3 linked regions of the Tamandua tetradactyla genome follow. The protein of the gene in region 1 purifies or fractionates together with the protein of each later gene. This does not show direct contact. Links are inferred from orthologs where the notes say so. Each region holds a gene or a part of one and is shown in the gene's direction. Other genes may lie near its edges. The genes, in order: LIN28A, ZCCHC3 and ZC3HAV1.

Evidence for each region.
Region 2: the proteins of LIN28A (region 1) and ZCCHC3 purify together in Homo sapiens (co-immunoprecipitation; 3 studies listed by BioGRID and IntAct, with this or other methods). This does not show direct contact. The link is inferred for Tamandua tetradactyla from reciprocal best matches to the Homo sapiens genes LIN28A and ZCCHC3.
Region 3: the proteins of LIN28A (region 1) and ZC3HAV1 purify together in Homo sapiens (affinity purification with mass spectrometry; 3 studies listed by BioGRID and IntAct, with this or other methods). This does not show direct contact. The link is inferred for Tamandua tetradactyla from reciprocal best matches to the Homo sapiens genes LIN28A and ZC3HAV1.

Annotation. Positions count from the first base shown.
Region 1 is NC_135328.1:199,797,130-199,800,729, reverse strand, and holds the start of LIN28A (protein lin-28 homolog A), read left to right. Parts: upstream 1-929; 5' UTR 930-1,061; coding exon 1,062-1,092; intron 1,093-1,555; coding exon 1,556-1,740; intron 1,741-3,600. UniProt on the Homo sapiens protein: RNA-binding protein that inhibits processing of pre-let-7 miRNAs and regulates translation of mRNAs that control developmental timing, pluripotency and metabolism.
Region 2 is NC_135327.1:22,186,821-22,190,640, forward strand, and holds the start of ZCCHC3 (zinc finger CCHC domain-containing protein 3), read left to right. Parts: upstream 1-1,377; 5' UTR 1,378-1,659; coding exon 1,660-2,883; 3' UTR 2,884-3,820.
Region 3 is NC_135327.1:182,163,541-182,167,360, reverse strand, and holds the start of ZC3HAV1 (zinc finger CCCH-type antiviral protein 1), read left to right. Parts: upstream 1-1,156; 5' UTR 1,157-1,486; coding exon 1,487-1,794; intron 1,795-3,820.

The DNA of each region.
Region 1 (3,600 bases):
AGAGAGAAGCACACTTCAAGCCTCTTTGGGGTCCTCCTGCTCTTGCATAGAGTGCTATTTGGGGCCAACTTTAGACATTTTGGAAGGAAGGGAAAAAGGGATGATTCTTTATGTTGAATCAATTAGGAGCACCTTCTCCCTTCTATTAGGGAGAGATTGAGAAAAAGTCTTGAGTGGAAAACTCAGGGAGAGAGACACATTCAATTTCTGTCAGAGACAGAGAGATTTTGAGAGTAAGGACTGAAGATCAACTCTGCCCAGTCTCCAATCTCCCCCTGCTCCTCCTCCCCAGGCTTCCCAGTGTCCCAAACTCCAGGTCTATCTAAGCACACGGGGGTGGGGGATGAGAGCGGGTCATCGCCAAGCAGCCGGGTCAGCTCAGAGGCCTGAGGGGAGAAGAGAGGGGGAGGGGCATTCAGTGGCTGGGGGAGGGGGAGGGCTCATCCATTTCTCCCTTGACAGGTGGTTTGTGTTTCTGATTGGCCAGTGCTGCCAGGCTCACACCTCCCTCCCCCAACTCTCTGGAATGTATAATTATCTGCGTAGGGGGTGGGGGTGGTATGTGAGTGTGTGTGGGAGCAGTCACGTGGTTTTAAAAGTACCCCCCCCAGATCCCCCACCTGTATGCTGCTTTGGGGACCCCCAATGAGGCTTTAAAGTGCACAACTACAAATTGAGGGGTACCCAAGACTTCTTGGGCAAGACGGCCCCCATTTCCAGATATGTGTATGGGAAGGGGGGTGTCAAACCTCTAGGTTCTGAACAGGGACACCCCAGAGATGTCAGAGACCAGAGCGGTGGGGGGAGGGACGGAGCTGCTCGGAGCCAGAGGGAAAGGGAGGGGAAAGAAGAGGAGGGGAGGGGAAGGGGTTGCCCGCGGGGGGTTGGGTCATTGTCTTTTAGAATTTGGGAGCCTTTGAAAAGCCGTGGGCCCTCCCACCGCTATTGTGCCGGGGAAGATGTAGCTGCCTCTTCTCCGAACCACCCCTTTGCCTCCGGACTTCTCTGGGGCCAGCAGCCGCCCGACCAGGGGCCCGGGGCCGCGGGCTCAGGCGACGACCATGGGCTCCGTGTCCAACCAGCAGTTTGCAGGTTCGAGCTTGGGACTTAGCGGGAACAGCTTAGGCTGCGGGGGTGCCCAGGAGCCACCTAGAAGGAAGATGGGGAAGTGTCCCTCCAGGCTGCCCGAAGGACTCCCAAGTCCGCGCGGCCTTCTGCTTCAAGGGCCATGAATAGAGCTAGGACCCTGGTGTCCCAGCGGCTTGCTCGCCAGTGCTGTGCGGGCGTGGGAGGAAGAGAGGAGGGGACTGTCCAGCCGTCTGTCCAAGGGCAACGTGTTGTGAGAAGAGGAGCAAAACTTTCGGGGCACCACGGGTCTCGGTATAGGTTTGGGGAGCGCTTGGAGGCGGCCGGGACAGGTCTTGGTAGCTTGGTAGCTGCAGGCTCCTGATGTCCACCCGTAGGTTGGGCATTTGGGTCTCCCTGCCGGGTCTCTGTGGGCGCCCTCCGATTCCGAGCTCCCCAACTGAGGGCCGGTCTCCTTCCCCATCTCCAGGTGGCTGCACCAAGGCGGCCGAGGAGGCCCCGGAGAACGCGGCCGGGGAGGCGGAGGAGCCGCAGCTGCTGCAGGGGGCCGGCATCTGTAAGTGGTTCAACGTGCGCATGGGGTTCGGTTTCCTGTCGATGACCGCCCGCGCCGGGGTCGCGCTCGACCCCCCAGTGGACGTCTTTGTGCATCAGGTGAGACTCAGTCTGGTAACTTCGCCGGGGGCGCTGAAGTGGGGGTCCTATATTTCTGGGTGGATGGGCGAACTCCGCACTTGGATTGAGGGAGACCCAAGTTTCTTCGTTGCGGACCCTCATCTTTGCCGTGGCACCCCACTTCTGAGTCCCTGATAACGCCACCGGGGCCGGGTGGGGAGCAGCGGCAAGTATGAGCTCCCCTCGCGTCCTTCCGGGAACCCCTCCAGCTCACCACGTGTCTGTTACCTCTTTCCCCTGGGAAGGGGGCAGGGAAGTGACCCCATGTGGCAGAAAGTAAGGTTGTATTGTGCTTGCTGGCGGGGGGAGGGCGAGGGGACTCGCCAGGGAAGCAAGCACATGCTGGGCGGAAACCAGGAACTCGGCGCCCAGAGCCTTTCAGTAACGACTGAATGGAACTGGGAGGGCCAGAGGGAGAGGAGGAAACCTATTCCCATACCCAGCTGGCTGGGGTTGAGAAGGCAGGTCCCTGTTTGATGCACCCCATCCATAGGTGTTCACTCAGAACTCAAGCCCTGGGTCAGGGTGGGCTTGGCAGATCACTGAAGGATCCACTTAGGAGCTTGCAAGGTCATAAGGCGGGTTTCACTCACACTCTTCAGGGACTGGCAGCTTTCCTGTAGAGTTCCTACCAGGAAGGAAAACCTAAGAAGACCTGGATTCTTGGCCCAGGCTGAGAGCTGGGTTGCAACCCCAAGTGCTCAGTTAACGCAGTAGAATGGGACGCGGTCGGGGTGGAATTCAGTGTCTCAGGGCAGAGGTTGGAGGGAGGCTGGCCTCGGGACCTAGTCTCTGCTTGGTGTTTATGGCCCTAGACAGCCGCTGATTGCTGTCCTAAAATTCCTGGCTTCCAACAAGGAGCCAGAGGCTTCAGGGTCCCCCTCCTCCTTCCTGGACTCCTTTCCTCTCACCCCTTCCAGGATATCGCAGCATTTCCGGTGGTCCTGGGACACTAGCCACCCATAATAACCATGGAAAGGAAGTGGTTGCCTGAGTCTCTTCCACTCTGGGAGGTGTGGGAATGGACCTGGAAGATTTCTAATCCCAGGCCCTGAAGGTTGACACAGGCCGGGCAGAGAGGGGTTACTGCAGGGAGGCTGGCCCGAGGAGCTGTGGGGGAGGGGAAAGGAGGATGTGGGGATTAAGGGTTGGGGCCTGAGGGAGGGTATCCTGGAGGGGGAAGGGCAGGGAAGGGCGATGCAGGGTGGACTGGTAGTTGGAGACAGGGAAGTCCTCAAGCTTGTCCCGCAGCAAGGAAGTTGAGGATGAATGGGGTACCAGGGGAGGAGGATGTAGGGAATTGGGGACCCATCGGTTGACATTGGGACTGTGGGCCATCTGCCAATATGGCCTACTGCAGGATGCTTGCCTTCCCCCCCACCCCACTTCAGACATCTAGCTTGAAGCTGGTGGCTTTGCCCCCCTCCCTCATTTACATATGTGAATGATAACCCACAGGAAGTAATTGTGGGAGAAAGAAGGGAATTGGCCTCTTTAGATCCATTAAATCACTTTATTACAGGAACCAGCTTTGAATGGCCCTCCTCAGCGGGGTGTCCAGCCTCCCCCACTCTCTCCTTTGATCACAGAGATTAAAATCTCTCCTGGTCTAGAGACTGACTGGACAGCTTCCCCAATTTTGGGAGGCTGGAATAAGAGTCAGACCCAACATTTTCTAGTCTCCTAAATAGGGCGGGGTTGAAGGAAAGGTGTGCCCTTGTGTTTTGGGGTTCCTTAGTGATATAAAAATCCCGAGGAAGGTTTTCCTGGGCAGGTGGGGATCTGCCTCCATAGACTTAACCTTAGGATAGAATAATCGGAAACTTCTCAGATGGCATC
Region 2 (3,820 bases), on another chromosome or scaffold:
GATGTTGGCTTCCCAGAGACTGATACCTGGAATTGAAGTGAAGGAAAAGATCGTGAACCTGGAACTCGCAAGGACATCTTTCTCCAAAATGCTCAGTAAATAGAACTAGAAGATGTGAGAGAGAAATAGGAAAGAATCCATAGAAAATAGGAACTTTCCCAGGAACCTACTCTGGATCAAGCTCTTTGGCACAAGTTATCTCTTTAAACCCCTTTATCTTCCTCTAAGAGTGGGTATTAATGTCCCTTTGATAATGATAAGCAAGCTGAGGCTACGACCCAGTGTGTCAGGGCTGCGATTTGAAGCAGCTAAACTCAACTTTGGGTCTTCTTGTTTCTGGAACCCACCTTTTTTTTTTCACGGAACATGGAAAAGTGACTGAAGGATCCCCAAAGACACGCAGATAAGGGTAAAGAAAATAAACCATATAGGAGTGATATTGAACTTATCTGACAAAAAAAAAGAAAAAAAGAAACTCATCTCAAAACTATCCAACATCCGCAAATAAAAATTGCAACAAATGGGGGAGGAATAAAGAGGCTCCGCAGTGCTGATTTTATCCTTGAAATCTGCTTTTTACCAAGGTTTCCTGAAAAGTCTGATATTGATAGTTCTTAATCCTCAATTTCAGGAGCAAAGTGGTTGAGGAAAGATAAGCAACCTACAGATGAGGCCCTGGGGTTGCCTATTAACCTGCCTTGGACAAGTGGAGTAATCCATTTCCAAACTCTTGACTTTTTATCTGTAAAATGGGTACAGCATCATTTTGTAAGATTCCAAGTGATAAAGCTTGCAGTGTGCATATTACCAAGTTCTTAAAAAGCACTCAATATAATTATTAGTACGATATAGACATTTTATAAAATATAAATGCAATATTAAAAATGCAATATGACCACTGATTGTATACCATGTACGAACTGTTTATGCATGAAGATTTATCAGTAAAAATATATTTTTAATGTACTATTGACGAACTTGGAAATGTATAAAAAATAAGAACTGATGAATAATTAATGATATGGATAGATGTGCGATAAGTATAGTAAAATTCTGATAAAAAGTTAAAATGCTAAAAAAAAGCAAACGGTGAAATGTTCGCTGCAAAATTCTTTGAACTTTTCTATATGTTTGCAAATGTTCATGAAGCCAACACTGGAGAAAATAATGCATTACGTTACGCTCTGTGGGGAGAGAGACAGGTTTCAACACAAGAGGTACAAAGAAAACAAAATGGGCGAGATCTGCCTCGACTCTGTCCCGCCTTTAGGCTGTGGGCCGTTAGTAATGCTGCTCGAATGAAATCATCGAGGATCGCTTGCGAAATAACAAATCCTCGAGAGCGAGGCCCGAGACTGCCAAACCCGCGCGGAAGAAAGGACGAGCCTCCAAACTCCCCAGCCCGCTTCCGCACAGAAGAGGTGGGGTTGGAGCGCGAGCTGCGGAAACGTGGCTCAGCCGTTACCAAGGGGCTCAAGGCCGGCTCGGGCCAATATGCGCCTCATGTAAATACCTTTGGGGTTGGGGGCGGGGGAGAGAAGCGTCGGATTTCAAAAAGAGAAAAAAAAAAACAAAAAACCCCCCACAGCCCCGGCGGGCGCGCGCGATGGGCACTCTTAGGCAGCGGGAGCGAGTGGAGGATGCTGGGAAGGAGGTAAAATGGCCACCGGCGGCGGCTCTGAGGAGGAGAAGAAGCGGGGGCGACCGCAGCTCCTGCCCGCAGTGCGACCAGCGGCCCGGGGCGAGGAGTCCGAGAGCGGCCGCGAGAAAATGGGCTGGGCCCAAGTGGTGAAGAACCTGGCGGAGAAGAAGGGCGAGTTCCGCGAGCAGCGGCCGCCGCGGCGGGAGGAGGAAAGTGGCGGCGGCGCGAGCGGCGCGAGCGGCGGGCTTGGCGCCTCGGCGGGCGTGGCGGCCCCGGGCCTCAGCGACTTTCCCCCGGCGGGTCGCGGGGACCCGAAGGGCCGCCGGAGAGATCCCACCGGCGAGGCGGCGGACCCCCGCAAGAAGAAAGGCGCAGCTGAGGCGAGCAGGAGGAAGAAAGCCGACACGGCGGCCATGGCGGCCCCTACCAGGCCCGGCGTGGCCGAAGACGCGGCCGAGCGGCCCCACCAGGATCAGCCGGAAGCGGCCCCCAGCCCCGCGGCGGCCCCGGGCAAGGGTCGCTTCCTCGTGCGCATCTGCTTCCAGGGTGACGAGGGCGCTTGTCCGACCCGGGACTTCGTGGTGGGCGCGCTCATTCTGCGTTCCATCGGCATGGACCCCGGCGACATCTACGCAGTCATCCAGATTCCGGGGAGCCGCGAGTTCGACGTGAGCTTCCGCTCGGCGGAGAAGCTGGCCTTGTTCTTGCGCGTCTACGAGGAGAAACGCGAGCAGGAGGACTGCTGGGAGAACTTTGTGGTGCTGGGGCGGAGCAAGTCCAGCTTGAAGACGCTCTTCATCCTCTTCCGGAACGAGACGGTGGACGTGGAGGATATCGTGACCTGGCTCAAGCGCCACTGCGACGTGCTCGCCGTGCCCGTGAAAGTGACCGACAGGTTTGGGATCTGGACCGGGGAGTACAAGTGCGAGATCGAGCTGCGCCAGGGGGAGGGCGGGGTCAGACACCTGCCGGGGGCCTTCTTCCTGGGGGCCGAGAGGGGCTACAGCTGGTACAAGGGGCAGCCCAAGACATGCTTTAAATGTGGTTCCCGGACCCACATGAGCGGGAGCTGCACGCAGGACAGGTGTTTCAGGTGCGGGGAGGAGGGGCACCTGAGCCCTTACTGCCGGAAGGGCATCGTGTGCAACCTCTGTGGCAAGCGAGGACACGCCTTTGCCCAGTGTCCCAAAGCGGTTCATAATTCCGTGGCAGCTCAGCTCACCGGCGTGGCCGGGCACTGAACACCCGCCTGCCTGCTGGGGTGAACGCACCGCTAGTTTACCCCCTCTAAGTGCCAAAACTTTTTTTTAAACCGTTTTTTTATCATTTTTGAAGGATATCTTTTTAAAACTTACAAAAGACATCTCTCTTTGCCTTCTTAAACCGAGTTTACTCCATTTCAGCCTTTTCTGAATTGGTGGCTCTCATCAGTAAAGACTACCGAGAACTGTAATGTGCAGATATGTCACCCTCCCTTTTTTACTTTGTTTTCGTTTTTGTATTTGGGATTTTTTTATTTTTACTTTTTACTCCCCCACCCCAAACCTTGTCTTCTCCTTCGATTTTCACCTTTTGGGCTGCCTTGTTCATCTTTATGCCCCAACACTTAAGTACGGAGCCTACCCAGCACCGTAGGCACTCCGACAGGGCTTGTTGAGTTGAAAACAGTGTTGGCTGTGGCTTCTGTCATGGTGTGTACTTTTGCAGCTCTTCCCCTTTTGATTTGCTGCTTCTAATCTATGTGGTCTGAGAATTTGTGAAACCAGTGTTGTTAGAAGTATATGTAATCTGAGTCAATAAGCTCTGAATGGTGGCCAAGGGCCTTTCTTATGGCATAAAAATGTATGGACTTTGTGAGATCTTTTTCAGTGGCTCAGAAGCCATTTTACATAGATTCATGGGCTCTAGAAGTTTCCTGCTGGAAAGGACCTGGGAATTAGTTTAGATGGACTCCCTGGTTGTCTGTCAGATGAAACAGGCCCAGAGAGGTTAGGTGACTGGGTCAGAATCACATTGCTGGTTGGTGACAGAGCTGAGCCTAGAGTCAAGGTCCCTGACCCCAAGCCGGGTGCTCATCCCACTACCTCTCACACTTCACGACATTTTCCTCACTACTTGAGGGCCCAGAAAGTCAGATCTCTCCGGAATAGTGAGCCCAGAGGAATGCCAAGAAATCTG
Region 3 (3,820 bases), on another chromosome or scaffold:
TTTTCATACCCTTAAAGCATTTATGTCTCCAAACTGAGGGGAATGTTATCTCTCTATTCCCAACCACTCTAACCAAACTGGACTTATCATTTTCTAATCTCCTCAATAACCACTGCAACATTTAATCAATGCTTTTCTTATATTTTTAATGTTCTTTTCAAGCCTTCCCACACATAAGCTCCTTAAGTGAAGGGACTATTTCTTAAAGTTACACATTTTCAGAATGACTAACTAATGTAAGGGCCACATAAAAGATACTCAATAAATATGTTAAATTTAATTGATTTGGCAATGAAAGCCCAGTACCTGAGAACCTGTCAAACCACAATTATGGCCAAGTGGATGAAAGACAAGTGTGGAAGCAGTAGCCAGAAGGCACAGGAAATCAGATGGCACAGACCTGCAGTTCTGTGTGAATCCCACCATTGTTTTTTTTTTTTATCCCATTAGCGATTTCGAAGAATTTCTAATTTGGTAACCACATTCTATTTTTTTTTTTTAAAGATTTATTTCCTATCTGATAAATGCCCAATTTATTCTACCTGAAGGGGAAGGTCTTGTCGAAATATCTAAAAGGGGGACACAGATTTGAAATCTTGGGATGTGTACCTGTGATTTCTTGTGAAGAAGAAGCAATGTCTGGGGCATCTCTGTTAGTGATTATAGGCAGAAAAGAAGGGGTCTAAAAGAGTTTCTTCAAAAAGTTTGTGGGAAAACAAAAACGGAGAGTCATAATCGCTGTTCTTTAAGGGGTCATCGTGATGGAAGAAAAGTGCGCGTTGGTCCTGGATTCCGCGGACCTCGATCTGGTACACGGCGGCCAGATTTTGGGAACCTCGGGGGGCACCCGCATTCCAGCTTGGTAGTGGTGCACCTCTGCTCAAGTTACTTTCTCAATTACTGAGTGATGATGATAATATCGACTCCGTGGAGCCTTGTAAATTCCACGAAACTTAGAAAACTAAAATACACCAGGAGAGCGCCCAGCTCGGAGGAAGTACTCTAGGGTCGGTTCTTTCCAAGGATGGGTGAGGTAGGAGATTTCGAGAGGACTCCTCAAGAGGGCTCTCAAGACTCGCGTCACTTGCCACTTAGTCTGACTTATAAAAACGCTCCCAGAGCCCAGAGATAATTTTTAGTTTCTCTTCTTTCCGAAAAAGCCCCGCGGCGATTATCTGGGAAACCCCATCTTCGCCTAGTTTAGAACCAAGAGTTCTCCGCGCTTGTTCACTTTCCAGGTTTTCCCATCGGCGTTAGAGTTCAAATCTGACACAAGGACTAGAGGGTGATATCTGGCTTCTCCGTCTAAGAGCCGAGTTGGAAACCGAAACCGATGGGTTTAGCTAACGGAGGAAGAGAGCGCGCGCTCGCCCTGGGCGCGTCCAGCGGAGCACCGCCCGCTCCCGTCCCCGCCCCGCGGACACTTGTAAGTTTCGATTCTACGCAAGCTGAGTTCGTCGCACTCGGCTAGGCCAGGCAGCGCGCCATGGCGGACCCCGAGGTGTGCTGTTTCATCACCAAAATCCTGTGCGCTCATGGGGGTCGCATGGCCCTGGACAAGCTGCTTGAGGAAATCGCGCTGTCCGAGGCGCAACTCTGCGAGGTGCTGGAGGTGGCCGGGCCCGACCGCTTCGTGGTGTTGGAGACTGGCGGCAAGGCCGAGGTCAGCCGGTCGGTGGTGGCCACCACTCGAGCCCGGGTCTGCCGTCGTAAGTTCTGCAACAGACCCTGCGAAAACCTGCACCTCTGCAAGCTCAACCTGCTAGGCCGGTGCAGCTATTCTTATGTGGATCGGTGAGTGCACAGAAAAAGGGGAGGCACCCCCTCGGCTGTGGTGGGGAAAGATGGTCGGGGCTGCTGCTTCGGGAGGGGCGCCCCTCACCGGGTTCCCTCACCCGACAGCATCTTTCTCCAGCCTCTTATTTCTTTGCTCCCTTTGGAGAGCCCCTGCTTCTAACCCTGGCGGTCCCCATCCCCCTGGTGCCTCAAGATCTTTCCTCGAATATGGCTAACGCCACACTGCCCAAGCGGAGACTGCGTTTACCCATCCCCATAAGAATAAAGTGCTTTTTGGGCAAGCCGATCCTGGTGATGTTGAAGGCAGGTTTGGGAATGAAGAAAAATGCCTTTGTTCTCTGGATTCTTCAGTCCTTCTCTTTCCGCTACCTTCGATCCTAGAATTGTTGGCGGGGTTCCCGGCACCAAAGCCGCACTCGGGGTTCTCCATCGGACTCCATCGCAGCGAGCGGCTGGTCTCTGCTTGACCCTCCAATCTTGGTTGTCTCCGTACCTCCCAGTATCACTTCTCTACAGTCTGGCTCCAGTCCACACCATCTGACCCTCCTTTAGGTTACCTGTAATAAAGTCCCTGAGCACTTTCCCGCTTGTGTCTTTGCAGTGGCCCGCCCGGGACCACTGACTTAAAATGGTCGTTTAAAATGGTACAGCTTACTGCTTAGGAGCTACTTCTGTGTCTCCACTTGCTCTTTTCTGCTCTCTCAATATAGGTGCGCCCCAAGGTTTGGGTTGAGCCTTTTGATTAGATTATCTCGCAAGTTTCCCACTAAAAGAGCTCACTCGTTGGCTCAGCTACCTGAGCTACAAAGATGGCTTCCCAGCATACACCCCCTGCTCAGGCTTGCCTACTGAGTTCATATCTTCATATCTCAGTGTCTCGGGAACAGCAGTCTCCGAGTACACTTGGTTAAACTCATGGTCTTTCCCCCAGACAGGGTTTTTGACACTCCCTTCCACCTTTTCTTCATATTTTTCCCTCTTCGCAATTCATTCGCTCTTTCTGTGAAGTCTCACATACCTATCTCCTGTCCAGTTCCTCTTTTCCATCGCACTTCCCAGTGCATTCATTATTGAATTAAATTGACGGTCTCAGTAGCCACAGTGGTTTCCCCCATCTGTTCTGCCTCTGTTTACTTCTGTACATGGCATGTACCTGATATGGCATGTCTTACAGTATTGCCCTCCTTAAAGACCTTAAGTGGTGACTTGTCTAAAATGGTGGCCATCTAACTGATCCCATACTTCTTATTAGCAAAAAACTTTAGATCACTCACCTTCTGATATATGTGTAATATAAATGTAGAGAAGACACATGCTTTAAATGGATGAGACGGATAATATTTTTTAAAAAGGTATTTGTTTATAGCAAAAAACCTTTTTGCCCATTCTAAAATTTAAAAAAGGTGTTTGAATAAGAGTGCTTATTTTAAAAATATTTGTTTAGTACCTTGTGAGGTAACTATTTGAACGCCTCTTTCTGAGATCCTGAAGATACGTGTGACTTACAGAGGAAGTCATCTGAGTCGGGGGTGGAAGAAACCACTGAGGAAAGAAGGAAAGACTGGAGAATAGAAAAGGAAACACTATATATTCTAGCACTGTATTGAATAGCAGTGGGATTAGAAGATTATCTTTTTTCTGTTAAAGTGAATGATGAGAAATTCCTTACCAGCTAATGGTGGCTTTTACTTTTAAATACATATGCTTTTATCTTTTGACTATTTAGTATAGATATTTTCAATGTACACAAAAGTAGAGAAGAGAGTATGATGAACCCCCCAGCCATCCTTTGATTTCAAAAGTTTTCAAAATATGGCCGATCTTGTTTCATTTATTCTCTCTTCTCATCCCTGCTCTTCACTCCAATGAATTATTTTAAAGCAAATCCCAGGCATCATTGCATTCATAAATAATGAATACCTCTAAAAGTTACACGCTTTTATTAAAATAACTACTATCCAATTTTCATTTATAAGGTTACAATAATTCCTTAATGTCATCTAATATCCAGTTGGCATTAAAA